7 linked regions of the Oryctolagus cuniculus genome follow. The protein of the gene in region 6 purifies or fractionates together with the protein of the main gene of each other region. This does not show direct contact. Links are inferred from orthologs where the notes say so. Each region holds a gene or a part of one and is shown on either strand. Other genes may lie near its edges. The genes, in order: STX18, STX16, VAMP3, STX8, BET1, NAPA and SCFD1.

What was found.
Region 1: the proteins of NAPA (region 6) and STX18 purify together in Homo sapiens (affinity purification with mass spectrometry; 4 studies listed by BioGRID and IntAct, with this or other methods). This does not show direct contact. The link is inferred for Oryctolagus cuniculus from reciprocal best matches to the Homo sapiens genes NAPA and STX18.
Region 2: the proteins of NAPA (region 6) and STX16 purify together in Homo sapiens (affinity purification with mass spectrometry; 4 studies listed by BioGRID and IntAct, with this or other methods). This does not show direct contact. The link is inferred for Oryctolagus cuniculus from reciprocal best matches to the Homo sapiens genes NAPA and STX16.
Region 3: the proteins of NAPA (region 6) and VAMP3 purify together in Homo sapiens (affinity purification with mass spectrometry; 3 studies listed by BioGRID and IntAct, with this or other methods). This does not show direct contact. The link is inferred for Oryctolagus cuniculus from reciprocal best matches to the Homo sapiens genes NAPA and VAMP3.
Region 4: the proteins of NAPA (region 6) and STX8 purify together in Homo sapiens (affinity purification with mass spectrometry; 4 studies listed by BioGRID and IntAct, with this or other methods). This does not show direct contact. The link is inferred for Oryctolagus cuniculus from reciprocal best matches to the Homo sapiens genes NAPA and STX8.
Region 5: the proteins of NAPA (region 6) and BET1 purify together in Homo sapiens (affinity purification with mass spectrometry; 5 studies listed by BioGRID and IntAct, with this or other methods). This does not show direct contact. The link is inferred for Oryctolagus cuniculus from reciprocal best matches to the Homo sapiens genes NAPA and BET1.
Region 7: the proteins of NAPA (region 6) and SCFD1 purify together in Homo sapiens (affinity purification with mass spectrometry; 3 studies listed by BioGRID and IntAct, with this or other methods). This does not show direct contact. The link is inferred for Oryctolagus cuniculus from reciprocal best matches to the Homo sapiens genes NAPA and SCFD1.

Annotation. Positions count from the first base shown.
Region 1 is NC_091433.1:4,626,896-4,630,971, reverse strand, and holds the start of STX18 (syntaxin-18), read right to left. Parts: upstream 2,801-4,076; 5' UTR 2,339-2,800; coding exon 2,171-2,338; intron 1-2,170. UniProt on the Homo sapiens protein: Syntaxin that may be involved in targeting and fusion of Golgi-derived retrograde transport vesicles with the ER.
Region 2 is NC_091442.1:3,594,825-3,598,885, reverse strand, and holds the start of STX16 (syntaxin-16), read left to right. Parts: upstream 1-1,261; 5' UTR 1,262-1,976; coding exon 1,977-2,108; intron 2,109-4,061. UniProt on the Homo sapiens protein: SNARE involved in vesicular transport from the late endosomes to the trans-Golgi network.
Region 3 is NC_091438.1:159,935,339-159,939,410, forward strand, and holds the start of VAMP3 (vesicle-associated membrane protein 3), read right to left. Parts: upstream 2,801-4,072; 5' UTR 2,648-2,800; coding exon 2,646-2,647; intron 869-2,645; coding exon 790-868; intron 1-789. UniProt on the Homo sapiens protein: SNARE involved in vesicular transport from the late endosomes to the trans-Golgi network.
Region 4 is NC_091448.1:53,885,301-53,889,576, forward strand, and holds the start of STX8 (syntaxin-8), read right to left. Parts: upstream 2,801-4,276; 5' UTR 2,339-2,800; coding exon 2,322-2,338; intron 1-2,321. Other genes in the region: CFAP52 (cilia- and flagella-associated protein 52), read left to right, coding at 3,453-3,522. UniProt on the Homo sapiens protein: Vesicle trafficking protein that functions in the early secretory pathway, possibly by mediating retrograde transport from cis-Golgi membranes to the ER.
Region 5 is NC_091447.1:41,915,647-41,919,686, reverse strand, and holds the start of BET1 (BET1 homolog), read right to left. Parts: upstream 2,801-4,040; 5' UTR 2,592-2,800; coding exon 2,573-2,591; intron 1-2,572. UniProt on the Homo sapiens protein: Required for vesicular transport from the ER to the Golgi complex. Functions as a SNARE involved in the docking process of ER-derived vesicles with the cis-Golgi membrane.
Region 6 is NC_091449.1:10,127,469-10,131,621, forward strand, and holds the start of NAPA (alpha-soluble NSF attachment protein), read left to right. Parts: upstream 1-1,353; 5' UTR 1,354-1,551; coding exon 1,552-1,649; intron 1,650-4,153. UniProt on the Homo sapiens protein: Required for vesicular transport between the endoplasmic reticulum and the Golgi apparatus. Together with GNA12 promotes CDH5 localization to plasma membrane.
Region 7 is NC_091443.1:44,656,594-44,660,093, forward strand, and holds part of SCFD1 (sec1 family domain-containing protein 1), read right to left. Parts: intron 3,484-3,500; coding exon 3,361-3,483; intron 2,158-3,360; coding exon 2,070-2,157; intron 118-2,069; coding exon 28-117; intron 1-27. UniProt on the Homo sapiens protein: Plays a role in SNARE-pin assembly and Golgi-to-ER retrograde transport via its interaction with COG4. Involved in vesicular transport between the endoplasmic reticulum and the Golgi.

The sequences.
Region 1 (4,076 bases), on a different chromosome or scaffold from region 6:
CCCACGTGAGCACGAGTTTGAACTTCAGCTGTTCCACTTCCAATTCAGCTTACAACTGGGAAACAGCAGAAGGTGGCCCGAGTGCTTGGACTCCTGCCCCTGCCCCTGCCCCTGCCCTGAGTGGGAGACCCGAAAGAAGCTCCAGGCTCCTGGCTTCAGCCTTGCCCAGCCCCAGCCATTGTGGGAGTGGCCATTCGGGGAGCAAAGCAGCAGATGGAAGCTCGCTCTCGCACGCGCGCGCTCTCTCTCTCTCTCTGCCTTTTGAATGAATAAATCTTTAAAACAAAAACAAACTTTCAGGGACACACAAGCTAAGCGTCTGACAAATGGACAAAGTTCTCAAACACCTATGACAAGCGGTCACCTGTCCATTTTCTGCTACTGACAGGGAACTCGGCGCTCCACGGTCCTGCTACCACCCCTGAGGGGCATTAACACACAGCCTAGAGGGCATTCTCACCGCCCAAGGAGAGGCCCCGGGATCACTGGGTTCTCCACAGGGCCCGACGACCCAGCCACACTTCTTGCCTCTACCATCCCCAAACCCCTATGCCTGAGCAGGGCCCAAGCAAACTAGCTCAGTGTGAGTAAGAAATCAGTGATTTCAAACTTAGAGCCACCAAAAGTCCAAACTGCTATCCTGCCAGGGCCCCACGAGAGGAATCTGGGAGCCCTGGGAGGGGAGGACGTCCTACTTCCCTTTCTTCCCTTTCGACCTGAGACCGCACCTCCCTGCACCCTAATCAGCTATGTATCAGGGACCACTGTCATTCTGTGCAAGTCTTTTGTTGGGGGGGGGGGGCAGAGGAGACCATTGTCCCAGGAAGTAAAGGGAGGTAACAAACCCTGCTCACTAACCTCAGCTGGCTGACAGCGGCAGGGTTCAGAGGGCAGCTCTGTCCCCGGCTCCTTCCCGAGTGCCTGCTCAGTCACACGGCGGCTGACTGCCTAGAGGCCAGGTTCAAACTCCAGAGAGCGGTCACCATCGCCTAAGGCCCTTCAAGAGCCCTGCCCGCCACTGCAGCCCGGTGTCCACTGAACCAGCCAAGGGCACACCTCTGCAAACCGCTCTCAGCCAAGACGCCCTTCCCCACCTTCTCTGCTCGCCAACCCCTCTTCCCCGGAGACCTGCTGCAGGCGCGTCACCGCCCCGGAAGCCTCCGCAGGCGCACAGGTGGCAGTGAGCGCTCTCTGTGCTCCGCGGAACACCTGCAGGGCTAGCGCTGGGCCAGGCGCGCACGCCTCGCTCCTCTGCCGCTCCCTTCCCTTCCCACCGCTCTGTACAGCGCTGGTCGGGAGGCAGGCGCAACACAGACGTCTGCCGACCGCGTGCGTCCGTCCATCCGCTCCAATCCCCCTTCCGATGTTTGAAAAGCTGCTGCAAGCTGCCCCTCGCTAACAGATGCGCTACCCATGCATTTGAAAATACCTCGACCGCGAGGTGCTGGGTGTGAGCCAAGACAGGCGGTTCACCGCGACCTTAAGGAAAGTCTGCGTCAGGGACCCTCCCTTGCGCCCTCCAAACTCCTGACCCTCCGTTTTCTAACTTTATTTCTCCAAGAGGGTACATGGAACCGTATGAGCTTTGGGCGCCAAGCTTACAGAGTGAACCAGGCCAACACACCCTCGCCGCTTACGCCGGCAGCCATTCATCCAGCGAACCTTTACTGAGCCGAGCCCGTCGACAGACGGCTCCCGCTCTCAGGGAGACGCGTGGCTGCACGACGGAGCACGCAGAGGGTCGCGGCCACGCGTGGGAGCACACGCTGCTCGCCAGAGACGATCCTAACCGCGCTCCGCAGCCACCGAGCCCTGCCTCCCGCGACGGGCAGCACCGAGAGCGAGCGCCGCGGGACGCTCGCCACCCACCCACGAGGACGCTGCGGCCGCCAGCGAGGCCCCGTGGGAGGCTTCGCCCGCGTCCAGCTCTGAGTGACGGCGAACTCGTCACCTCCCGAAGCAACCCTGGAGCCCCGCGGACGGCGCCTCTAGGGCCACCCCCCCCCACCCCAGCAAAACAAGGCTGCTCCCTTCCCAAGACGGCTGTCGGCGCCCTGGGGCCACCCCTCCCTGCTCCCCGCTCGGGACCCCTTCCCGCTGACAGCGACTTGAGGTCTGGGGTCCCCCATCGCGGGTCCGCCCCCCGCCGTTTCCATAGCAACCAGCTCACCACTTCGCGGGCCCGGTTGGAGAAGTCACCCTTGGGCCGGGGGGTCCGGCGGAAGAGCTCGTCGCGGCTGCCCTCGACCCCGCCGCCGACTGCCACTCCCAGCGCCTTGTTCCGCGTCTTCACGGTCTTGACGCTGGCCCGGAATAGCAGCGTGATGTCCACCGCCATAGCGACCAGCAACAGCCACCGGCCCCTACACTCGGCCCGCTCCGCTCACGTCAGCAGCCGGCGACCGCGGCCGCTGGAGGACCGTTCCGGCGGCGCACGCCTCCGCCCGGCGACGACGACGCGAGAAGAAAGGTTCCGGCCTCCGCCTGTCGATCGCGAGGAGAGGAGAAAGGTTCCGGCCTGGGCCTGGGGGCGTGTGCGTCCCCGTGCCCACCACGAGCTCATCGGAGCCCCTTTAGCTCAGAGAACCCCGCTGAGCTCCAGTTACGCTGCGGGGTGTGGATCCCGGGAGCGAGATGAGGAAGCCGAAAGGCTCGGCGCCTTGTCCCGGCTCCTCCGCTGGTGGGGCGTGGGCGGTTCGGTGGCCGGACGCGGGGACGCGCCAGCCTTGACCTCGGGTCTTGAGCCGGACAGGCAGGGAGCCCTCGCCCCTCGCCCCTCGGCCCGGCCACCCGCTCCCCTGCGAGGCTCCTCCGCGCCTGCCTGGGGCTGGTGTGGGGTTAACCGAGACGACGCGTGGAGAGTGTTTTGACGTTGCTGGACCCAGAGAGGGGCCGTCCATGCAGTTGGTGGTGTTTTCCCATCACTCTTGCTATTTGTGGCGGGAGGAGCCTGGGAGCGGTGTCCCCCGAGCAGGTTTGAAATTTATCAGCTCAAAGAGGGACTCCTGCCGCGGGGTTCCGTTCACCCTTAATGTACGGTTTTTCAGCGTAGCGTCGGGTCAGCTTTTCCTGAAAGTCAGTGTATGAGGCTTTATTGGGTCATGGTTCAGTTTCAAGATCTCACTGGTTGGATCTTTTTTTTTTTTAAGGGTTATTTATTTATTTGAAAGTCAGAGTTATACAGAGAGAAGGAGAGGCAGAGAGAGAGAGAGGAGAGAGAAAGAGAGAGAGAGAGGTCTTCCATCCGCTGGTTCACTCCCCAAATGGCTGCAGTGGCTGGAGCTGAGCCGATCTGAAGCCAGGAGCTTCCTCCCGATCTCCCATGCAGGCGCAGGGGCCCAAGCACTTGGGCCATCTTCCACTGCTTTCCCAGGCCATAGCAGAGAGCGGGATTGGAAGTGGAGCAGCCGGGACTCGAACCTGCACCCATATGGGATGCTGGCACTGCAGGCAGCGGCTTTACCAGCTATGCCACAGCGCCAGCCCCAGATGGTTTTTTGTTGTTGTTTTTCCCCCTCAAATAGGAGGCACAAATGGAATGTGTATTGAAACAGCAGTTTCAATGGACAGCAAGATAAATTATTTTCATAATTCTAAGATGTTATTTCGTTTTCACTCTTGTTTTCTCATCAGTTGTATACGCAGGTATGACGAAAGTCCGTGGAAATGTGTATTATGAAAAAAGGTGTGCGTGCATTTCAAAAATTGTTAAAGATTTTATTTATTTATTTGCAAGGCAGAGTTACAGACAGTGAGAGGGAGAGACAGACAAGAAAGGTCTTCCATCCGCTGGTTCAATCCTAAAATAACTGTAATGGTGGGTGCTGGGCCAGGCTGAAGCCAGGAGCCTGGAACTCCATCCAGGTCTCCCACATGGGTGCAGGGGCCCAAGCGTTTGGGCCATCTTCCGCTGCTTTCCCAGGCCATAGCAGGGAGCTGGATCAGAAGAGAAGCAGCTGGGACTCAAACCGGTGCCCATATGGGATGCCAGCACTGCAGGCAAAGGTGTAGCCTTCTACAACACAGTGCCGGCCCCTCAAAGTTTTTTTGCACCAAAGTGAAATTACTGTTTCATC
Region 2 (4,061 bases), on a different chromosome or scaffold from region 6:
ACATACTTCTCGCAGCGCTTGCGCCACGCCCGGGGCTCCCCGAATTGCCTGCTCTGCCTCCGGGGACGCTGTCCCCGTGCCCGGCAACCCCCAGCCCCGCAGCCGCGGCTGCTCGGGTGGCGGCGTCCTGCCAGGGCGCACGTGGCCGGCTCCCGCGCTCGGAGCTCGCCCTGCCCGGCTCGCCGGCGCGCTCAGCTCCCTCGTTCCCGCATTGTGCAGTCAGAAACCCTTTTCGCTCTGCTTCGAGAGCCTGCGGGGCGCTTTCCCCTGCCGAGGAAACGCACGTGGGTGGGGTCCGGGGCGCCCCCTGCGTGAGCCCAGGGAACGGACACGTGTGCGCCAGGCGCGGTCCACGCGGGGCACGAGGGCACCCGGCGCGGCGAGGCTCGGGTGTGGACCCCCCTGGCGACGCCAGCCCGCAGCCCCGGGAGCCCCGCGGGCCCCAGAACGCGGGACCCCGGGCCGAGGGCGCGGGGCGCGGGGCGCGGGGCCGGGGCCCGCTCAGCGCACACGGCGGTGTTCGGGGCGGTGGGTGACAGAGTTTTCGGGTGACTCTCCCCCTGGGGAGTCCACAGCCCCGCAGTGGCCCCTGCGGAGAGCGGCGGCTGGGGAGCGCGGGCGACCCCCGCGACCCCCGCCTGCCGCTGGCGGCGCCGCCCGGGCGACCTGGACGCCCGGAGCTCCCGCTTCACAATTTTTTCCTTTTTTTTTCCCCCCCTCTCCTGGTTGTTTTTCAGATACATCTTTTTTTTTTTTTTTTTTTTTCAGAGTTGAAAAAAAAAAGCCCTCCACAACAGAACAGCGCGAGCGCGAGCCGCCGCCCGCAGCGAGCGTGCTCGGCCTGCAGAGGCCGGCGCCTCCCGCCGCCCCCGCCCCCGCGCCCGCGCCGCGCCGCGCGGCTGTGCTCTGCTGGTGCCCAAGTTCGCCTGCCCAGGAACTTGGCACTCGCCATTGCGGGGCCACGGCCCTGGGCAGCGGCCTGCAGCTCGGGGGCCACGCGCCCCGGGCTGAGCGCTGCCCCCCGGGCCCGCTCCCAGTGCCTGAGCCCCGCGGGGGCCGGGAAAACGGGGTGCCCCGGCCATGCCCCGGGAGAGGGCGGAGCGCGCCCGCGCCCGCGCCCGCGCCCGCGCCCGGGTGTGGGCAGGGAGCTCCCGCGCCCGGAACGTTGCGAGCAAGGCTTGCGAGCGTCGCAGGGGGGCACTCGCGAGGGACGGACAGGAAGAGGGCCAGGGGGGACGCCAGAGCCCGGGACCACGGCACGGAAGCGGCCCGGGGCTGAGCTCGCAGTCAGATCCGGGGATGGAGGGAGCTGGAGGAGAGGAGTGAGGAGGCCGGGGAGGGTGGCCCTGCTGTCCTCCTGGAGGCCAGCGGCCTCCTCGCGGCGGGGGAGCAGGCCGCGCAGGAAGGAGAGGGGTCAGGAGGTCGCCGAGCCGCAGCAGGCTCAGCGCAGGCCGAGAAGGGAGCTGCAGGCGCTGTGTAGCCGAGGGCTGGGGTTGGCCAAGGAGGGCCGAGGCCGGGCCTCTGGCGGGGGCAGCGAGGCAGGGCCCGGCCCCGGGGCGCGGCCTAGACGCCGGAGCGCGCGGCCAGGGGCAGCCCGGGGGTCAAAGGCCGTTGGGGGTCTCGGGGTCTCAGGGAGTCGAGGGAGGCAGGGGGCTTCAGGTGCTGCCAGTCCCGAGCCGGATTGGCGAGTTATGCGCTTGTAGATCCAGGGTTGGATTGGGGTGGGGGTCTCAGGGACGGCGGCTGGCCAGGCGAGGATTGGGGGGATTCAAGTGCTTGGAGATCGAAGCCAGGTCTTGGGTAGGGGGAGTCAGACAATTGGCAAGCCTAGGCGGTTATCTGGGGAGGGGTCTTCGCGCCTCGTCGGCTGGAGGCCTGCGGCCTGGCCCAGGGAGGCCGCTGGCGCGAGGGCGGGCCGGCTGGGCCGGGCCTGGAGGCGGGCGGGGGGCCCTGAGCGGGGTCACACAGGGTGAGCCATGGCCACCAGGCGTTTAACCGACGCTTTCTTGTTGTTGCGGAATAATTCCATCCAAAACCGGCAGCTGTTAGCCGAGCAAGTGAGTAGTCACACCACCTCCAGCCCTCTGCATTCACGTAGCATTGCTGCGGTGAGTCTCCCGGGCACGCGCGCCGCGCGCCCCCGCGCCCCGCCCGCCCGCCTGTCTGTCTCTGTCTGTCTCTCTGTCTGTCAGCCGCGCCGACCAGTCGCGAGCGGCCCCGGCCCGGCCAGGGGGCGTCGCCTTCGCCGGGCCCCGCCCCCGCCGACGGCCGGGCCCCGCCCCCGCCCGACGGCCGGGCCTGCGGGAGGCCCGCGGGGCGTGGGGAGGGGCGCGGACGGGGCTCCCCCTCGGGAAGGCCGTGGGCGTGGGCGTGCGGCTGCGAGGAGACGGCCCTGCCCTCAAGGCCCGCGGTTCCTCGGCGCCGCCGGGCTTTGTGCGGGTCGCCCCCTCCCCAGGGCTCGCGGTGCGCGGCCGGAGGCCTCGCGTGTCTCCCCGCACGTCGGAAGGAGGCCCGCCGCGGCGCTGCGTCCGCACCTCCCGCGCGAGCCCGGGCCGAGGCGTGGAGGCCGCGTGAGGAACGCGCGCCGTGGGCTTCGGCGAGGCCCCGGAGCCCGCGGGTTCAGAGCCGAGGCGCGGTGTAGACGGTGCGCCCGGGCCGCGCCGCGAGTCAGATGCTTGTTGGAAGGGATTGCGTGGGCGCATATTTAAACTGCGTGTCTGCACAACCCAGTAGAGCGGGTCGGACTCCGCGCAGCCGCGTGCACGGCCGGGAACGCTGCATCGGGAGCACGGCCCGAGCTCGCGTGGGTTCCTGAAGACTTGGAGGGTGGGCCGCCCCGCCGCTGGGGGCGCGCCCCGTGCCCCTCAGTGTGTTGCAAGCCTTCCTAGATGATCAGAGCCGTCGGATCGCCGAGAATAACCCGGTTTCAAAAGACTGTCTGCCGCCCGCAGCGTCAGTGTGCCTGGTTTTTAGAAGTTAAGTTAGCGGGCGCATTTACGTGTTTTAATATTTTAATGGTGCGCGCCGAGGCACCGCATCCCCAGACCCCAGAGCGCCCGGGGAGCCTGCGGGCGGCTTCCTGCAGAAGCCCTTCTGCCTGTGCACCCGCTGCAGGAAGATGAAAAATCACCAAATCACCGCGAGAGGCCGGAGCACTGGGGCAGAGGGCAGGGCCTGGCCGCTCCGCTCTCCCGGAGCCGGCAGGTGCACGCGTCGCGGCTGTGGAACGTTGGCTGAGTGGCTCCCAGAAGGCCCCGCCGCACTCCCGAGGTTCATCCTGCGGCAGGTCACACAGAAGTCACACCTCGAGTGTGAATGTAGAGCGGCCGTTAGGTGGTAATGCAGCAGTCAGACCAACCGCAGTTGATTACACGTGTGGGTCTTCCTAGCGATGGCACTGAAGGGCTTGGTGGTGTAGTATCAAGAAATCTGTTTCCTATTTAAGTACTTAGCCCCCCTCCAATGAAAGAAGCAAATGAAGCAAGATACTAGTAATTCTTAAGCCTAGTGACAACTATCGCTAGGACATTATATCATTTTACGTACTTTTTCTGTGTGTTTGGAAAATTATAAAAATTTATATTTTGTCACAGTAAAGTAAAACAGCACAATTTGTAAACATCCATGCTAACTTAGGTAATTAACAAGGCAGTAACTAAACTTGAGAATTTAAATTAATTTTAAAACTCATAACTTGAAATTTTAAATTTCCAATTAGAAGAAAAAGCTGTAGAAAGTTGATTTTCGTGTATTTGCTAGACATAGCTAAAAAGAAATCACACCTAAAATAATTGGAAAATTTCTGAAATTTCACATCCTTATTTGAGGAAAACACTGCAAGAATTGGCTGAAAAGTGGCGTGTGTGTCCATCAAACATCTCGGCACAAAACAGCCCTACAGCCATTGCCATTCAAAAAATGAAGGCCCGTTTCTTTTTCTTGTTTGAGGAAAAAACTTGAAATTGGCTTTAGTGATGAGGGTTAGTGTGTCGCTCCGGCCAGTGTGTCAGAAGTAAACACATTCAAGGACAGCCAGCGGAAGTGCAGGCAGCCCCGGCCCG
Region 3 (4,072 bases), on a different chromosome or scaffold from region 6:
AAAAAAAAAAAAAAAAGATTCTGTGAACATCTATTGCTCAAGAATTCTAGGGAACTGGCACTGTGGCCTAAGCGTAAAGCCACCATCTGCAGTGCCAACATCCCATAAGGGCACCAGTTTGTATCCCAGCCGCTCCACTTCCGATCCAGCTCTCCGCTGTGGCCTGGGAAAGCAGCAGAAGATGGCCCAAGTGCTTGGGCCTCTGCACCCATGTGGGAGACCCGGAAGAAGCTCCTGGCTTCTGTCTCCCTTTCTGCCTCGTCTTCTCTGTGTATTAACTCTGACTTTCAAATAAATAAATAAATAAATCTTTTTTTTAAAAAAAAGAATTCTATAAATACGGATGTGTTGAGCTGCAGTTTGCCAGAGACTGCCTTCTGTGTGTCAATGGGCAACTGTCACAGATGAATTCTACAGAGACTTGCTCAGACTGGGTAATGTGTAGGTCAGGCTAAAGGACAGAGCGTTTTGATTTAAAAATACATGTATATCCATCAGAAGGACTGGTCCTGGCATGAGCAATCTTAGACCTAATCCTTAAAGTTCTGTTACTTTTTTTAATAAGACACTTTTGGGGCATGCCCTCAGGGAGACTGTTTTATGTACATGATTCTATATAGGTTCCCGGAGAGTCTGACTTTGGCTTAGATTAGGGCAGATTCACTACCTTTATGATAACTCAACACTGATGTTCCATTCACACCTTTACGAGAGTTTTTCTAAACAGAATTATCTTCGGCACGCTGCCATGTTTGTTTAAATCTACGTTCCCAGCATTTCGAGCGATACCTCATCCACTTGGTTCTGCGTCTGCTGAAGTCTTCTGCTGCCGGCAGCAGCGCTGGAACCTGCAGGTGCACCCGTGGACCTGGAACGCGGAAAGGCACAGCATGAGTCGGTCAGGAATCCCAATACAGTACTGTCAGCTTTAGGATGCGATCCCATTCCCCAGGACTCCAGTGCGGACAACGCTCACATCACAACCAAAGCGAAAGAGAACCCTGCCTGTAGACCTGAACAGTTCCTCCAAGATTACCAATTTGCCCACATCCGAGGGACCGGAGTCCAGGAGGAAGGCTCGGTAGAGTCTGGTACACAGCAGCGACCCCCAGCCGGGCACACACACAGGCCGCTCTCGGCACTCAGGACTCCCCGGGCCCTTCCACTGCGGCAACAATGCTTTCAGAGGAATAAGAGTTCCGGTGTCTCCTAATAGCGACTCATTTACAGACACAGCGTAGGAACACCGGGCGGGGGGGGGGGGGGGGGGATGCCGTGGAATGTTCGAGAATGGCGAGGAAGCATCGCATCCTCTCAGCGACCGACTCATCCTCCAAGTCTCCCTCTCTTGGCCACTGCGGCCCGGAGCTCCCCTAGGGCTTGGCTGGCGCCGGACAGTCACCAGTCACCTCTCTCCTGACAAACCACGGGCTCCTGGGTCCTAGAATTCTCTCCTCCGTGTTCAAGAATGCCTGGAGTGCTGGCGCCGCGGCTCACTAGGCTAATCCTCCGCCTGCGGCGCCGGCACTCCGGGTTCTAGTCCCGGTCGGGGCGCCGGGTTCTGTCCCGGTTGTCCCTCTTCCAGGCCAGCTCTCTGCTGTGGCCCGGGAAGGCAGTGGAGGATGGCACGGGTGCTTGGGCCCTGCACCCCATGGGAGACCAGGAGAAGCACCTGGCTCCTGCCTTCGGATCAGCGCGGTGCACTGGCTGCAGCGCGCCGGCCGCGGCGGCCATTGGAGGGTGAACCAACGGAAAAGGAAGACCTTTCTCTCTGTCTCTCTCTCACTGTCCACTCTGCCTGTCCAAAAATGATAATAATAATAATAATGCGTGGAGCACCTGCCTCGCCACACAACATCAGTTATTTAAAACCTGCCGCGCGTCAGCAGCCGGGGAATAAGGCAGATCCCACGCTGTTCTGCGTGGAGTGTCCGCGAGAGCACGCAGAGGGCCCACGCCCCGCGCGGGCTCCTTGGATCCTAACTCTTTGGGGTGGGGGGGACACTGCCGATGCCCTCAACACGAGGTTTAGCAGTCACTCCAGGGGGCATTCACCGGCTCCGGGGGTCCGCGGGGCTCTGCTGACCAGCACAGCGGCCTCCCCAGGGACGTCCCACGGGCGCGCCCCTCGGGCGCTGGGCTGGTTTTCCCCGCAGGGGTTGCAACGAGGGGCTGGAGGCGAGACTGCCGGGGCCCTGCGATGCTGGACAACCGAATCTGGAAACAGCGGTCTCCAGGGCCGCAGCCCCAGGAACGCATTCGCTCAGGAGCAGCAAGGCCCCGGCCAGGCTGCCGTGTCCCGAGGCCGCCGCTCCCGGCCCCGCGGTCGCCGGCGCTGCTCTTGGGGACCTCGCGGGGCAGGGCCGGGCTGCAGGGCTGGGCGCAGCCACTTCCTCCCGGAAGCCCGCCGGCGGCAGGGCCCTGGGGACGGCCGGCGGCGCCGCGGCGACAGCTAGGCCCTGCCACGGCCCGCACTCCCGCGGGCGCTGCCCGCCGCAGGCCTCGGAACGCACTCAACGCCCTCACGGGCTCGGCCCGCGGCGGAGGGGCGACCGGCAGGCAGCCACCGGGCCGTGCGACGGCTCCCGCCGCGGGCCGCCGCCTGCGGGCCCCGAAGCCGCCCCGCGCCCCGTCGCGTCACTCACATTTTGGCAGCGGCGGAGGCGCGGACGGCGGGGCGAGAGTCCTCCGAGCTGCGCAGCCCAGGACCTAGGCTCGGGGATGGGTGGGGTGGCGCGGCGGCAATGACGTCATCGGGCGCGGCCGGGCGCGCCGGAAGTGGGCGCCCACGTGGGCGGGGCCAGCGCGAGGCGCCGTCTGCGTCCTAACGCCGTCGGCGGGGCCTGTGGCGGCCGCCCCGGGCCACTGGCAATGGCGGCGTGGGGGGGCCTGGCCGCTGGGGACGCGGTCAGGGGGAGCAGGCGGTACGGGACAGGGACTGTCTGGGCGAGGGCGGGGCTCTGTACGTTCTTCCGGGTGTTTTCGTTTGTGACCGGTGTCTGTCAGCGCCCGCCGCCGGCCGCGCTGAGGGGCGCCCGGGTCGAGGCGGAGTGTGAGGTGGGAGTGGGGAACGCAGTGCCGGCTTGGCCGCGTCTGTCACGTGAGGAAGGAGCGAGCGCGCGCCCCGGGTTGGGGTCGGGGGTCGGGCCGGGCCGGCCGCGCTGGGCACGCGCCGGGCACGCGGCAGCCGGCGGGGCCGGGGGCCTCGAGGAGCCGGCGGGGGCCGCTACGGGCGTGGGACGGTGCCGGCGCGGACGGCCGCTGGCCGGGACACTGGCCCAGGGCTTGGGACTTCAACTGCAAAGCTGGGCGTCTGCAGGACTGACTCTCGCTCAGGAAGGCGTCCGCCCAGCGCTGTTCGGGATCACGGGTTGGCATTGGGAACCGGCACGTGCTCACCCCCTTGGATTCCGGGAACGGGTCAAGTTAAAGCAAAACACGGATAGTATGGGGAAATTTTCTTCATTTTTAATTTACAGCAGAAAGAATATAAAGCATTCAGAAAACATTTTCCATATTTTAAGGGCAATTCAAAACATTTTGCATGGTTTCCAGCAGCTGAGTTCTTCAACAGATCCATTGATTCAATGATGCTTTACATGCACAATTACAAAAATAAAACTTACAAAAAAGAAGACATCTAGACTAGTTTTACATGCAAGTCTCAGGGACCCCCCGTTGGGCGCCAACTACTGTGTGGAACTGCCAGAAGCGACCGTGCAGCCAGAGAGGGGGTTCGTGTTATTGTCTTTTATTTCGTTCACACAGTACAGCTGATTTCGAATGGGTAACGAGAATAGCAATTAAATCTTCAGGAGACAGAATAAGATTAGCTATTAATTTTATAATGAAATCCTACTCCTGGCACTTGGGAATTCAGATTATCCAAGAAAGCTGCGCTTACCTATCATCTTATATTCGAAATTAAGGTTCACAACCAAGAGAAAGCGGTCAGAAAAGCTTCGATTCAGTGGAAGTGCGTTTGTCCCTCACCGAGGATTCACAGTTGGACTGGTAGGTCGGAACCTACTTCCCATCCCCTCCGTAAGAGCCCTCCCAATTCTGTGTAAGT
Region 4 (4,276 bases), on a different chromosome or scaffold from region 6:
CAGGCCACAGCACAGAGCTGGATTGGAAGTACAGCAGTCAGGATTCGAACAGGCTCCCATAAAGGATGCCAGTGCTAAAGGGGGTAGCTTTACCTGCTACACCACAGCTCCAGCCCGGAGAGAAATGTATTTTTCTGCTATTTGTATGTAAACCCTGGGAGTCAGCCTCCCGGGGGGGGGGGGGGGATTCTGCAAGATAACATATACCAAGGGCCTTAAAAACAGATCTACAGTCCAAGAGTTCTGCTTCTAGGAAAACAGCCCAAGGAAACCAAGAATGGCACAAAGTACAGCAGTTCAGCCACCCCTGCCATGTTGGCACCCATACTGGAGGGCCAGTGTGATTCTACTTTACATCCAGCCTCCCCTAAGGGCAGGAGGTGATAACCCCAAGTGCTCAGGCCCTGCCACCCACGTGGGAGACCAGGATGAGGTGCTGGCTCCCGGCTTTTGCCTGGCCAAGCCCTGGCTGTTGTGGCTACTTGGGGGAGTGTACCAGCAGATGGAAGATCTCCCTGTCATCTCTCTGTCACTCTGCCTTTTTAAATAAATTAAAAAAATAAATAAGAGAGAGAGAGATGGAACAATGGGATAGCCTGCACAAAACTAAAAACAAAAACCTAATATTAAGAGAAAAATAATGGTTACTCATATCAGGCATTATTAGGGGCTGTAAGTCATGTGTTCAGAAAATCTTCAATAATATGGAGAAATGCCCCCTTTTATAAAACACTGTAGAGTTTAAAGAAATAAATTCACTGCAGGGGGCCGGCTCCATGGCAGAGTAAGTTAAGCCTCCACCCGTGGCACCAGCATCCCTTATGGGCGCCGGTTTGAGTCCCAGCTGCACCACTTCTGATCCAGCTCTCTGCTAATGGCCTGGGAAATCAGTGGAAGATGGTCCAGGTCTTTGGGCCCCTGCACCTGTATGAGAGACCTGGAAGAAGCTCCTGGCTCCTGGCTTCAGAGCAATGCAGCTTCGGCCTTTGTGGCCACTTGGGGAGTGAGCCAGTGGATGGAAGACCTTTCTCTCAGTCTCTCCCTCTCTCTGTAACTCTACCTCTCAAATAAATAAATCAAGCTTAAAAAAAATTCAGTGTAAAAATTTTTTAATAATGGCTGTTTCCAAATGCCAGTGTTAAAGATGTTATTTATTGTCTTTTCTGCAAATATTTGGTATTCTTTAAATGTATTAAGGTTGTATACAAATGTTACAATTAGATGGGACAAAAATTAGAGTGACATTAAGCAACTGGCCTGAACAACCTAGATGGCAGGTAAGCCTAACTTGGACCTTGGAATCCATTTTCCTTATATGCAGATGGCAATTTAAACAATCATAAACTCTACTAGAAACACAACCAAAGACATACACCGCTACGGACGAATATGCAGTTAGCTCAGGTCCCTTTAAGAGAGTACAAAACGCACGCAGACTTCTCCCCAAAAGCCACCCTGGCAAGACCAAAGCGCCAATCCCATCCTTGCGGAGGACAGAAGGAAGTTCCCTACCCCACCCTCTGACGGCTGGCTTCTTTGGTTTATCGGGAGCACACCAGACAGGATTGCAAACCCGGCCTTCAGATGGGTTTTGTCCCTGCCCTTTGATCGACTGTTCCCTGAATCGTGCATCCAAGACCCCACTTGCACCAGTTCCTCCGGTCTGCCTCTCCGGGAGGCTTCCGACTTGGATGCATCCCGCTGGGCTCACTGCCTGGTCCCCGTGGAAGTCTCGCTAAGGTGAGACAGAGCCACGGCAGTAAAAGTCCTTGGGCTCGGTCCCCCGGGGGCCAGCTCGCGTCCTGCGTGCTCCGAACTCAGGAGATGCCGCACCAACAAGTGCCTCCTTGCCCTCCCGGGGTCCCGAGAGTTCCCTGATGGGCGTCCGAGACCTTTGGGTGCTACTCCCGCCCGCCTCCCTTCTCCCCCGTCAGCGGTTCCTAACCGGAGCCCAGCTTTCCACACCCGGGATCTCGGAGGGCTCGCCACATGGATCGACATTGCACAAAAACGGGCACTCCCCGCCCACTGTCACAGCCGCCGGGGCAAGCCCGCGCGAGCCGGCTCCATCACCCAGAGCGCCGACCCTCAGCGCCCCCATCGGGGTCCTCCAGGTCTCCTTCCCCGCCAGCCTTGGAAAGGACCAAGGGTGGCAGAGGCGCCCCCAGCCAGGAAAAGGACCTGGCCGTCCCTCGTCTCACTCCCCCCACCGCCACCAAAGCCCTCCAAGCCCCGAGGCCCAGCGCCCGGCTGCCGCCCGGAAGCCTGGCTGCCCCGAACTTCGGCCGCCGCACTCCCACCCACCCTCGCGCGGGACGCACCAGGGGTCTGGGGCCATCGTGCAGTCTGCCAGCCGCCGCTCGGACACTTCCTGCTCGCCGCAGCTGACTACGGCGGCCCGTGTGGCTCAGTCCCCGCGGTGCTGTTCAGGACGCGAACGCAAACACCCAGGAGGACCTCCGGACGCTGCAGCAGGACTCGGGGAGGACAGAGCGCCCCTGGGCGCCGTGTGGGGTGGGGGTGGGGGGCGCGGCCGGCCTGCGGGGCGCCGGCACGGATGTGGCTGAACGGAAGGCTTCTCTCGGGACGGCGCGAGCATCTGCGGACGTCTGTCTGGCTGGTACTCGGGGAGGTTACTCCGTGTCTGGGGCGGAAGGCGGGCACGCGGTGGAGACGCAGTGAAACGCACCCGCGGCCCGCACCGCGGGGCCTGGGGCTCCAGCTCCCGCCCTGCCTGCTCCCAGCTTCGGGCTCAGCTTGGGTCCCTACCTGTCTCGTGGGAGACTCGGGCTGGGCTCCCGGCTTTGGCTTCCGTCTGGCCCAGCCCTGGCTGTTGTGGCCGCCTGGGGAGAGAACCGGGAGATGGGAGCTCTCTCTGTGTCTGCTTCTCTGTCTGCCTTTTACGGAAAAACGAAAATAAATAGAAAAAACTTTTGTTAGCTTTCAACAAGGCAAAAAGAACTGTGATGATAATTGCACACTGTATAAGTTTGTTAGACTGATTTATGATTCTAAGGGGGTTGATATGTAAGTATTCCAAAGCTGCTCTTAAAATCTTCAAGTTTTGTGATCCTGCTTCAAACAGCCCCGCCTCCATCAATTTTATATTATTTTATAGCGTCTACCGTCAGAAACGAACCTCCGTTTGTTAAATGCCATGGGGGAGGGGGAGTTGAGCATAGGTTCTTTGCAGAAGGGAAAAGGGAATTCATTCTGTGCATTTGGTGTCCCCCCTCCCCTGCCCCCTAAATTTGCAGAGAAATAGAGAAAAGAAGCCCCCTGTGCCTTGCAAGGGGGCGAACCAACTCCCCAGCTCCGCACACCTGGTGAGCGCACCGGCGTGGACCCGGCGCGCATGCGCGCGCTCGTTGCCATAACGACCAGGCGACGCCGCACCCGCTGGGGCTGAGACTGGAGGGAGCCGAGGGAGAGCTGAGACGTGTGTCCCGGAGATGGACGACCGAATGTCGCCCAAGGCCGACGTGGCCGAGCTGGAGCTGGCCGCCGTGATCGGCTTCAATGGTGAGCGTGCGGGGCTGCTGGTGCGGGAACCCCTGGTCCGTGTGACTGCAGCCTCTCCCGCCCAGGGCTCCCACAGCTCCTGGGGGGCTGGCGGGTGGGTCGGAGTGGCCGGCCCCCTAGGACAGCGCTTCCCAGCCCACGAAGCTGGACCCCTGCGTGACCGCCGGCCGCTGCGTGCGTAGCTCCGGGACCCACTATAACCAAGCGAACTTCCGAGCCCCGTGCTGCCGATGGGGGATCTGGGGACGCTACGTGTGTCCATGGTGAGGGTCTCAGAAGGAAGGGGTGGGGGCGAGCTGGAGCGGGATTAGAGCTTTATCAGAGATTGGCCTTGCCACTCTGCTGTGTCTGCCTTCTGCCTTGAAGGGGGAGAAAAAAGGGCTGAATATATATATATATATACATACATGCATATATATATTTTTTGCTTTTGTTTAGAGGGATGTGAAAAAGCAGTGGACTAAATTTTAGGAAAAGCAAATCCTTTTTACAAAGTGTTTGGTAATGCCTGAAAGCTTGAAACTTGTGATAATATAGATGCAGAAAAATCTGTATTTACAGTGTAAGCACATTCCAGGACTTAGCTCTCGATTCTCCACTGGAACAGGTTCAGAGGGGGAGTGGGCCCTCCACACATCCGAGAGGTGCTGGCTGTCGTTGGAGCTGGGTGCCAGGCCACAGAACAAAAACTCAGGGGTCTGCATTGGTTTGCAGAGGGCAAGCCATGCACGGGGCCCTGCAACTCCACAAACAC
Region 5 (4,040 bases), on a different chromosome or scaffold from region 6:
GTTATGAATTTAAAGACTGGGCTCATTTTCCCCCCACTCAACAACTAAAATCATTGTCTTGAAAAATGCAACTTTATTAATGAATAGTCTGTGCAATCTATAATAATGATCAACATCCTTAAGGAAATGGAAACATCTTCTACTTATTTTATATGTTTAAGAGCCAAAGTATATAACATTGCCCAATAAGTAATTACTGACTGGTTGGATTCAATCACTTTGTAACTTCAAGAAATTCTAGAACTTCTTCAAGTTCTAAATGAATAGCTACTTACTATATGTCCTTTGTTTGGGTCTTTTCACATACATTAATTTTAGTTTTAGATTTCTTTTATATTGCTTCATTTATTCATTAAAAAAATTTTGAGAAGCAAAGAGACAGAGAGCTCCCTTAGGCCAGTCTGTGCCCCCAAATGAACAGCAGGGCTGAGCCAGGCGGAAGTCAAGAACTGGAGACTAGATCCAGGGCTCCCCCAAGGATGCCAGGGACCCAACTACTCAAGCAGTCACCTGCTACCTTCCCAGGGTTTGCGCTGGCAGGAAGCTGGAACTGGCGGCAGAGCCGGGACAAGAAACCAAGCATTTCAACAAAGTTGCCCCAACCAGTGGCTTAACTACTTAGGTCAAATACCTGTCCCTGTTCCATCTATTTAAAATGAAATTCTCATTTTATTTCTTGTCTGGAAATCTTTCAGTGCATATTTCTATTAGAGTTTTATCTTCTCTCAGCTATCACCCTCCCCCAGGGATGGACTCATGGTGTAGCAAATTAGGCCACTGCTTGCCATGCTGGGCATCCCTTATCAGATGCCTGTTCAAGTCCTGGCTACTCTGCTCCCAAAGCAGCTCCCTACTAATGTGGCTGGAAAGGCAGTGGGGGAGGAGCCAAACTGCCATCCATGTAGGAGACCCAGATGGAGTTCCTGACTCCTGGCTTTAGTTTAGCCCAGTTTTAGCTGTTGAGGCCATCTGGGGAGTAAACTAGCAAACAAAAGATCTGTCACCCTGCCTGTCAAATAAATAAATATTTGAAAAAAAAAAAAAAAAGCAAAAAACATCATCCACCAACACAAATATTCTTCACATGAATATCTATCAAATTCATTATTATTCCAAATCTAAAATTGCAGGTCATTTCACACTGGCACTTCAAGTTTTTTTAAAAAAAACCGTCACTTCATAACAATGTAAATTATAGCAACAGTTCCTTAATCGATGTGCTATCAGGACTGAGAACAATTACTTCTCAAGTCCCCTTCCTGCAACTTAACCAGGGAGAGTGCAGTGCAAAAAATAAGTGGGCCTCAAGGGCAATTTAGGAAATCTAAACTCCTTGGCCTATAATGCAATCTCCACAATGTGGTCTCATGTTTCTTGGTTCAATCAAATTGGTTGAGTCATAATTCCTTAGCTACATAATCCTAGTTCTATGCTCTTTGTTTTTTCTTTTCTTTTTTAGTGATCCTCTCACCTGAAACTCATCTTTCCTAACTTCATTATTCATGGTCTACTTCAAGGTCACCATCTCTGCAATTTCTGAGACATTATCTGCAGAACATTATCTTGTGTTTGGATGTATAGCTGCCACCTTGTACCATAATTTACCTTTGCACATTTTCCTACTTCCCAGCTGTGGGGAGCACCAAGAAAGTAACAAAACAACTATATAGCTAGAGCTCATTCAGGTATACAACCTAAAGACACTGAGAAAACACATAGGCTGGTGAAAACTAAACTTGATCAACATTCTTTTCTGTCTTCAATTTACCTGGCTTTCTCCAACCAGATTCACAAAAACTGCACTAAGAAAGAACACTGACACACTGACAACTTTCATTGACCTTAAAGTTGACACTTTTCGTAAGCCCTGTTTTCGTTTTTGCCAAGTTATTACCACGGCTGGCAGAGACAGTCATCTTTCGCCAATGCTCACATATATTCTCAATCACGCTGCACTGATAGAGCAGGGTTCTTTCTCGTCTTTCTCCTCCTCCTCCTCGTGTTTAACCATCTCCTAGTACAGAGCTTCAGAACCATAAGAGGTAGTCCCGACAGCTGCTAACCAGTGGAAGAGGTTCAGATAAGAAATGCTCCAGGCACACTGCCTTTGACCCCGACCTTACACCCCAAGGCCTGTAAGGTAACGACGTGTACATGTACCTTTGTCACTCACTGCTAGCCGACTCACATAATCACTGTGGAAGCGCTTAGCATGCAACCCCACTCTTCGTATCTCCCTTCTAAGAGGCAGAGGCAGCAGGAAAGCAGAAACAGCAGAGAGGCCAGGCCACCACACAGCACACAGTCCGACGACTGAGCTGGCACCTGCATATACCGCACCCCAGTCCTATGCTACTCTCCAAGACTCGGGTCCGGAGACCAAACCTAAGGATACCCCCGTAAGATCTAGGACAAATGACGTGCTTCCACTAGGCACCGCCTGCATGGCTCCCCTCCACACACGCCGTTTCTGGACCAGATGCCGAGTGACAGGACACCAGGGCGATTTTCTCCCGCGCCGACCAAGGCCGGCTCTGGGGCTCCCCACTTCGCACCTCGGACCTCTTCTTACCCAGGCCTGCACGCCTCATCCCGCCAGAAGAGGGAGGAAAAAGGCAGGCGGGGGTAGAGAAGTTAGGAAAGGGCCAGAGGTCACCCGGACCGCGTCTTCAGTCCCAGGGCGCCGCGAAGCACCAACTTCTTCACCCCAAGCGCCACGACATCACTGAAGCCTGGTACACCGCGCCGACTGATGGCGTCAACCCGGGCGCCCATTGGTGCTCCGCGAGGAGAGTTGAATGGCATTCTGGGAAAAGTAGTTCGCTGTTGTCGTAAAGGGCATGGCTGGAGGAGCGATGGGGACTCGCTTCCTGGAGTGGGCGGGACTTCCGGAAGAGGGGCGACATCCGCTTTGGCTTCCTGTTCCGGACCCTGAAACTCGCTGTTCGGTACCGTGACCCCGTATGCTAGGGCCGTGGGATTAGCTGCCTACAGGTCCCTACATTTAACACAATAGCTCAGCTTCTCCCGGCCCACGAGAGGTGGTTGACTTACCTTTCCTGATTCATACTGGTACTCACTGTTACCTGCAGAGTTAGTTCAGGGAAGTCTGAGAGAACTTCGTCCAAGTTTCTCGTCTTGCAAACAAGTAGTCCGAGACCCACTGGCGGGGCAGCAGAGGCTAACTGATTTGTGCTTGGTCACACTCAGGGGGGGAGACTCGTGCTGGGCTAAGGCAGCAGGGGTCTCTCGGAGCCCCCAGCGAGCCGGCTCCCTGCTGCTCCCTCGGCTCCCTTCTAGAAGCATCGTTGGGGTTAGGGAGCACGCCTGAATCCCTTAGACACGTGGTGCTGAATACTGCCTTACATATAGCAATGTGCCGACTGGGGTTTTTCAGTGCTTGGGGTAGGGTGTGGTGAGGAGTGTGTTGGTGCTGCTGCCTGGGTCAAGTGAGAATTTCGTGTTATCTCACAGGATGAGGTACCCTGAGGAGACTCTGCAGCAATGGTTTTTGAAGACATCTGGGACGCAGGAAATGCTCGGAGTCCGCTGGTGTTTGCGTTCTGATGTTGCTGATGTGTGACAAGGTAATGGTCTCCCGGCTAGAGGTCTCTGAATCTTCATCATGTCCTGTTTCCTCGGTTTCCCATTGTGACAGTGATGTAGCTGTGACTTCAGTTTCTGCCTTAAAGTTGCTTTCTTAAAACACAAAAATAAGTTTTTATAATTGTTAGGAAAAGAGTTGCAGATTGGTGCCTCCTCACACGGGGCACCATAAATGTTAGGAAAAGAGGTGCAGAATAGAGAGGAGGCAGTGAATGAATTTACAGCCAGACTGAATTTATTCAGAGAAAATAAATTAGAAGAGGTGAATGACCAACTGCCCTCCTGCACATTGATGGAACACGTGGCAGGAGGCCCTGACCCCCCGTCCTGGGGGTCCTGGCCTGTTTATATTTTAGGAGGGCTAGAGGCGGGGGTGGGATTAGGGAGCAGCAGGTGGAGGGGAATTCCCGGAACTGGTCTTTCAAGTGTTCCAG
Region 6 (4,153 bases):
TCCAGGTGCACTGGTTGCCTATTGCTTTACATCCGACAGCCTAAAACACATGACAGCTTGGTACCGGTGCTGCTTGGACAGGCACGGGACCGAAATTGCCTGTGGCGATCCAGACAGACGTCCGCCGAGGCTGTGGTCCGCACACAGCGGCCGCCACAAGCAGCGGCTCGGGAAAGCGCTTCCTGGAAGAGAGCTGGGCGAGAGGTCGGCCTGCCGTGCCCTGGTCAGTCAACCCCAGCCCCGCACAGCACTGCGCGTGCACACGCCGGTCCCATGCTGGGCGGGGCTCTGGAAAGAAATGGACTCCTGTGCCTCGCAGGCTCAGAATGGGGATCGCGACAGGGCGGGCCCTGCAACCTGACTCTGTAAAGCAGCTTTTCAGAATAGGTTCCCAAAACTCCAGACCCCACAGCTTCCCCACGCTTGCCATTAGGCTGGTACCTCTGATGCAGTGAACAAGCCGATCTGGGCACCGTGTGGCCGGCCAGCGTCTGTGCCCTGACTTCTTGAGGTCAATCCGACGCCACCCTGCACTGAGCAGCCGTGGCCCCCTCGGCTCTTACTAGGGAAGGGGAGCAGTACTAAAAATCAAGATCAAGACACCAGGCAATGCTGGAACCGCCGGCAGGCAGACAGCTTGACTTGCGGCCAGCGGCCAGGTCGAGCTCCCTGCCGGACGGCTGGCCGGGGAAGCCGCCAGGACGGAGGGCCCACGGCGAGAGGGGCCCCCCGCGGCGCCAGCAGCGCCCCACGCTCTGCGCGGCCCCGCGGCTCAGACTGGCGAGTCCGGCCCCTGGGAAACAAGCTCCGGGGGCGACGCCTCTCGTTCTCTGCCCCGTCCCTGCGTCCCCCTCTCGCCTGAATCTCGCACGCGCGGCTGCAGGCGCTCCCATCTGTCAAGCACTGCACGGGCCTCCCGCGCCAGTTTCAGCATCGGCCGGCAGAGGGCGCAAGAGAAAGCAGAACGCTCCCCTTTTTTCCCACTGAGGCCTTTTCGAGTGAAAGGAACCACGCGAGACAAGGCTTAGAGGCGGGACTAAAACACCGAGCAAGAGAACTGTCAAACCCAGGCGTGCGCCGGAAGTTGTCACGTGACAGCCGCCGCTCCAGCTGACCCGTGCCCAACTTCCGCAAGGTGGGGCGGACCCGAGCAGAGAGCGGCTGCTGATTGGTGGAAAGGCAAATACTGCGGCAGCACTTTGGGGGTGGGTCCCTGACGGTGAGGGCTACGATTGGCTAGTGCGGCGTCACGAGGTGGTGGGTGCGGAGCATCCGGAAGAGAGGCGCAAAACAGGTGGCTACGCATGCGTCGAGAGTCACGGGGCGGTGCGCGGCGGCCTGCCGGGGCGTGGCCAGCGGGGAGCGCGCCGCGCTACGAGGTCCCTGATTGGCCAGTGCCAGTCACCTGGTGCCCGGCCTCGGGCGGCGCGCGCCGGTGCGACGTCAACGCAGCCAGCTAAGCTCCCGGGACCTGTGTACCGCGGCCCGGCCGGGCCTGAGTCCTCCCAGGGCCCGGGTCGGGCGGTTCGCTGAGTTCGCTCTGCGGCCGCCATGGATAACTCGGGGAAGGAAGCGGAGGCGATGGCGCTGCTCGCCGAGGCGGAGCGCAAAGTGAAGAACTCGCAGTCCTTCTTCTCAGGCCTGTTCGGGTAGGAACCAGGCCGAAAGGTCGGCCGGGACCTGGGCTGGGGGCCGCAGGGGTCACGGCCTGGGGTGGCGGGGGAGGCGCGGTGCGGGGGCCGGTTTCCAGGGAGAGGGCCGAAGGGGCTTGGGCTGGGGACCCACGGGCCCGGGCGACCACCTCTTGAGGCGGGGAAGGGGATCCAGGCTGAAGACGGGCTCAGAGGCCAGCGGAGACCTGGGCGAAGGGGATACGGGCAGTGGCCTTGGCGGGGACCAGCCGCGGGGGCCAGGTTCCAAAGCCTTCTCAAGCCCTCGGGGGATCTGTTTGAGGGGTCGCGCCGGGGCCTGGGGCTGGGGCCACCTGCCCAAGGGGCTGACCTTCCCGAGCCCAGGCAGGGGGCTGCTGCGTAGCCCTTCGGTAAGGACAGGGCTCGCACAGGGCCTGAGGGCTTGGGGACAGGACTAGCGGCTGCCATGCGGCAGGCGCCCACGGAAGTTGGCGGCAGCTCAGGGCCGGCCGCACTGAGGGGCTTTGGGGTGCGGCTGCCGCTCAGCCCGCGACCTGGGTGAGTTTTAATCTCCCCGACGAAGGGGTAGCCAGTGAGAGCTGTCTCCTCCCCGTCGATAGCCGGGCGGCGTTGGGCTGGCGGATGGCGAGCGCTCCGAAGTGGTGGCTGGCAGTGTTGGGAGTGCCCTGCAAGGAAAGAGGTGTGCGGTGATGGGGGCTGGTAGAGAGCCAGGCGGGAGCCGGGGAGCGGCTCAGGAGCCGAAAGGGGCAGGGAAGGCCTGCGGACCGCGGGGCTTAGCGGGGTCAGGGCACGGGCCGGGGAGGGGTAGCGGAGGTCAGCGGGAAGCTTGGGGGGTCAGGGCACGGGGCCGGGGAGGGGTGGCGGAGGTCAGCGGGAAACTTGGGGGGGTCAGGGCACGGGGCCGGGGAGGGGTGGCAGAGGTCAGCGGGAAGCTTGGGGGGTCAGGGCACGGGGAGGGGTAGCGGAGGTCAGTGGGAAGCTTGGGGGGTCAGGGCACGGGGCCGGGGAGGGGTAGCGGAGGTCAGCTGGAAGCTTGGGGGGTCAGAGCCGGGGAGGGGTAGCGGAGGTCAGCGGGAAGCTTGGGGGGTCAGGGCACGGGGCTGGGGAGGGGTGGCGGAGGTCAGCGGGAAGCTTGGGGGGTCAGGGCACGGGGCCGGGGAGGGGTAGCGGAGGTCAGCTGGAACCTTGGGGGGTCAGGGCCCAGGAGGGGTAGCGGAGGTCAGCTGGAAGCTTGGGGGGTCAGGGCCGGGGAGGGGTAGCGGAGGTCAGCTGGAAGCTTGGGGGGTCAGAGCCGGGGAGGGGTAGCGGAGGTCAGTTGGAAGCTTGGGGGTCAGGGCCGGGGAGGGGTAGCGGAGGTCAGCTGGAACCTTGGGGGATCAGGGCCGGGGAGGGGTAGCAGAGGTCAGCTGGAACCTTGGGGGGTCAGGGCCAGGGAGGGGTAGCAGAGGTCAGGGCACGGGGGCCGGGGAGGGGTAGTGGAGGTCAGCGGGAAGCCGCTGAGGCCGAGCTTAGGACGGGGAATGGGACTGGGGTTTGCTGCAAGCCGGGGAAGGGGGTCTGGGAGGCGGGGGGGGGAGGGTCTTTCCAGGAGACTGAGCCTGCCCTTGCTGCTGGAGGTGGGATAACAGCAAAGGAAAACGTCCGGGTCCTCATGGGTTTTGTTGTAGACTGAGTGGAGACCGTGTGTGTGCGCATGCGTGTGTGTAATTCAAGTGCGCTGTTCTGAGGGTGGCTGGTGGTGTCTGGTGCCCTTGGCCCAGGGTTAGGGCCCCGCTGGGCTGCACCGGGGGGGGGGCGGGCAGCTAAGCCAGCCTGGGACAGGCTGCTGGGTTGGGATGGGGAGCGCGACACTTGGCGTGGACTAGTGAGGCTGGGTTGTTGGTTGTAAGGTGGGCTGGGTGATGTCCTTCAAAGCCTGCAGGACTCGGGCGGACGGCGCCTGGCATGAGTGCTGTGAGCAAAGGCCTCACCTGGTGACAGGGACGGCCAGGGGTGGTCTCCCTCGGGCGTGATGGGCCATCGGGGGAGCCGTGTGCTGCGGAGCTGTGAGGCGCGGCCTGTGAAGGTTTAGTGCAGGGGGTTGGGGCTGGGCCAAGGTGAGGCCACGAGCGAGCGAGGGCCTGGACTTGAGCCGAGCCCGAGAGGAGAGTGCTGGGTCTGAGCAGCGACTGGGGACGCTGCCGCCCGTGCTTCCTGACGCCGGGCCTGGCGCTTCCGTCCTCGCCAAAGCCCCGTGGATAGCGGAGGCCTAGAGACATCGCCGTAGGTGCTGGAGCAGCATGCGCTGCCCGGCCTGGCGCTCACTCTGCCCTGCCGTGCCGCAGCGGCTGCTCCAGGGCCAGGGCCAGGGCCGAGCCCCCAGAGCTCTGCAGTGGGGAGGGCGCGGCACACCAGGTCTCGGGGAGCTGCCGCCCTCTAGCCCCTCCCCCCCAGTCTTCCACGGGAGAAAGGAAGCAGCTTTGGGGCCTGCGCTGCCCCGACGCTGGCACCCCGCATCGGGG
Region 7 (3,500 bases), on a different chromosome or scaffold from region 6:
AAATACCGGGAAGACTGGAAAACTTACCCAGTGTAACAAAAAAGCAGAAGAGGCTGTCAACAATAGTGTCCATCACAGTTTCCATCTCCGTGTCCGTGATATCTGGCCTGTTAATGGCTGACATGACACAGGCAAGGGGAGAGAAAGTGACCACAATTTGTTTTATTTCTATTAAACTCTTAAAACTATTAAACAAATATGCAGTTTGATAACATTTATAATACCCCAGTGAAATTTTTGCTTTAATATTTTTTTAAATGAACAAGTACCTGTTGAAAATTATACTACCTCAAAAAACAAAAAACAAAAAACAAAACCAAAACAACACAGCCAAACAAACTACTTCAATACTAGGGGAGTAGTAATTTGAAAAAAATTGAAAAGTCAGCCATGCAAAACTTGGCTATTGTAAAAGGGAAAATATTGTATTCTATAATTTTATTCATAAAACACTAAATTACATGGCCTCAAGAAAATTTTTAAAAGTTCACTCATCATTTGCGAGGCAGAGAGGGAGACTGGAAGGGGTGTTGACAGACACCTTTATTGCCTGGTCCACTCCCCAAATACCAGCAATGGCTGGGACTGAAGCTGGAAGCTGGGAACTAGGAACTCAATCCTTATCTCCCAAGTACTCGAGCCATCCTGCTGGCCCCAGAGTCCACAACAGGAACCTGGAACTAGAAGCCAGAGCCAGGAATCAAAACCAGGTACTCCGATACAGGACACAGGAGTCTTAATGGAGTAAATGCCCACCCTCCAAGAAACTACTGATGCTGTTATAAAAGGGTTTATAGGGCCAGAAAATGACAAAGTAAGTTAATTATGGCAAAACCACTATCACATAACATTCTCTTTGCATTATAAGATTAATGAATTTATTTCTTTTTTGTAAAGACTGCTTGTTTTTTAATAAAACGATTTATTTATTTGAAAGGCACAGTGAGAGAGAGAGTGAGAGACAGAGACAGACAAATCTTCTATCTACCTGCTGGTTCACTCTTCAAATGTCAGCAATACCCAGTGCTAGGTCAGACTGAAGCCAGTAGCCTAGAACTCTATCTAGGTCTCCCAAAACAATAGCAGGGGCCCAAGTACTTGGGCCATATTCTGCTGCCTTCCCAGGTCCATTAGCAGGGAGCTGGATCAGAAGCAAAGCAGCTGAACTCCAACCAGCACTCCTATATGGGATGCTGTTCCAAGGGCAGGCTCAACCTACTGTGCCACAGCACTGGCCCCATGAATTTATTTTCTAATGTAAGACTGTGAAAAAGTAGTTACCACACTTAAGTGGGTGTAAAAATCACCCTGGAAATACAGGAGAAGAAAAAGTAGTCTCTCGGGAAGCTTTTAAAGGTTCTTGGCTCTTTTATCCAAGGATTCAACAGATTTGAGAAAATTCTGCAATTCTGTCAAAGTACTAGACAATTAACTTACTCCTGCTATAAAATACTGTCTTACACGCCATGAGTGGACCTTCATACATGTTGTTGTGGGGACACCTAAAAGAGAACTAGATGGGGCTGGCATTGTGGTGCAATGGGTTAACCTACTGCCTGCAACACCTGCATCCCAAGCGAGTGCTGGTTTGAGTCCTTACTGCTCTGCTTCCCATCCAGCTCCCGGATAATTCACCTGGGAAGACAGAAGATGGCCCATGGCCCAAGCACTTGGTATCTGCCACCCATGTAGGAGACTCAGATGGAATTCCAGCTCAGATGGAACTCCTGGCTTCAGCCTGCCCCAGCCACAGCTTTTACAGCCAATTGGGAAGCGAATTACCGGATTACAGATTTCTGTCCGTTCCTTTCATCTGGAACTCTGCCTTTCAAATAAATAAACATATAAATCTTTAAAATACACAAAAAGAATTGGTGCTTTTTCAGCTTACAGGTTTATTAAATGTTGCTTATTTGTGAGAAAATTCACACATTTTCTTTGAATGCTTTTTAAAAACTTTTACAGCTTTACTATTGTAAACTAAGTTGCTCTGAAGTATGCCAATCCTATTCACTACTTTTTTCTTCATTTCGGTAATAACGAATTGTAATATTCTTATTTTTACATACCACGATATGAAACAAGCTCCTTATTTTGATTACATAATACAAACATATCATCTTCCAAAGTAATAAAGTTGAGATACTGATCAAAAACCTAGAAACAAAAGAAAAGGTTTACAAATCTATTTTGTAATATGGCCACATCAAAAGGAAATTTTATTTGATATAATCTAGTAACAGCAGAAGATATTATAATAAAATTATAAATTCAGTAACAGAAAACTACTGCATAGCAGATTATGTAATTAAACAAAAGGATAGGCATATGAAAAAGACAACTGAAAACAAGCTTTTGGGCAATAAATGCCATGAAGAATAACATTTTCAGAAAACGAAATTTAGGCAGCTACAAGGATCTAAATTGTGATTGTGATGGGAACAGGCATTTTGAAGAAAAACTACAACTTTTAAATCACACTTTCCTATGAAAAGTTATTACCTCAACCTTCATAAATATAACAAGAAAGTTACATCAGTTCTTTGCAAGTGCAAATTAGGAGGAAATGAAGAAAAGTATTTGAAATTGACTTAAACTAAAAATTATTTGTTATTTTATTTTATGTGAAATTAATAAGTCTTGATCAAGAACATTAAGGCATACACCTCAAGAATTAATCAGAAGTAGTAGTGGACCATCTAAATATAAGAATAGAAAACCTGTCAGCTGGGAAAAAGGTGGAAAATAAATGCATATTTACTCTGTTACTTGCTCCATATAGTTCCATAGAATTTTCATGTATGTCTTGTCCAAATTCAAGAAACTAAAGGCACTATAAAGCTATACCAGGATTACATTTTGAAAATTTATTTATAGCTGAACCTAATGAAAAGTCACTATGATATGGAGTTGCTAGCCTGCAAGGAATTCCTTTTTTCTTACAATATGCAACATAGCCTCTTTGGATCCTCTTTACTAAGGAAGAAAAAATTTATAGACAGGATGGTCACTATAGTGATTACAGATAAAATAATGTCAACATACTTTGAACACAATTTTTGACAACACACCATCAAACTATTTCTGAAATGAGCTGAAAAGATCATAAAAATCCCAGCCTAAAGCAAAAATTGATTCTGCTTTTAATTTTTATCTTTCTACTTCATAAACACTAGGCCCCTTTAGTTTTGGCTAGTTTAAGTTACAGATAATTTACATTATCAGCATTCTACAAAAGTGTTGAGTCTAAACATTTCTTAGCTTGTTCAGGTCATTTGTAAACAAGACATTCATGTCAATAGGATTTGGAACACTAACTTTTATATTAACAAAATAGCACCAACCAATCCAATCCCTTACCTTGGCTACTTGTGTTACTGCACTAGCCGCTAAGGCTGCATTTGCAATATCTTCCAGTTTACTTCTTGAAATAGCAGAAATAAAATTTAAATAATATGATTCATAAAGCTGATTTCGAAGGTCCTATAAATAGAATGAGT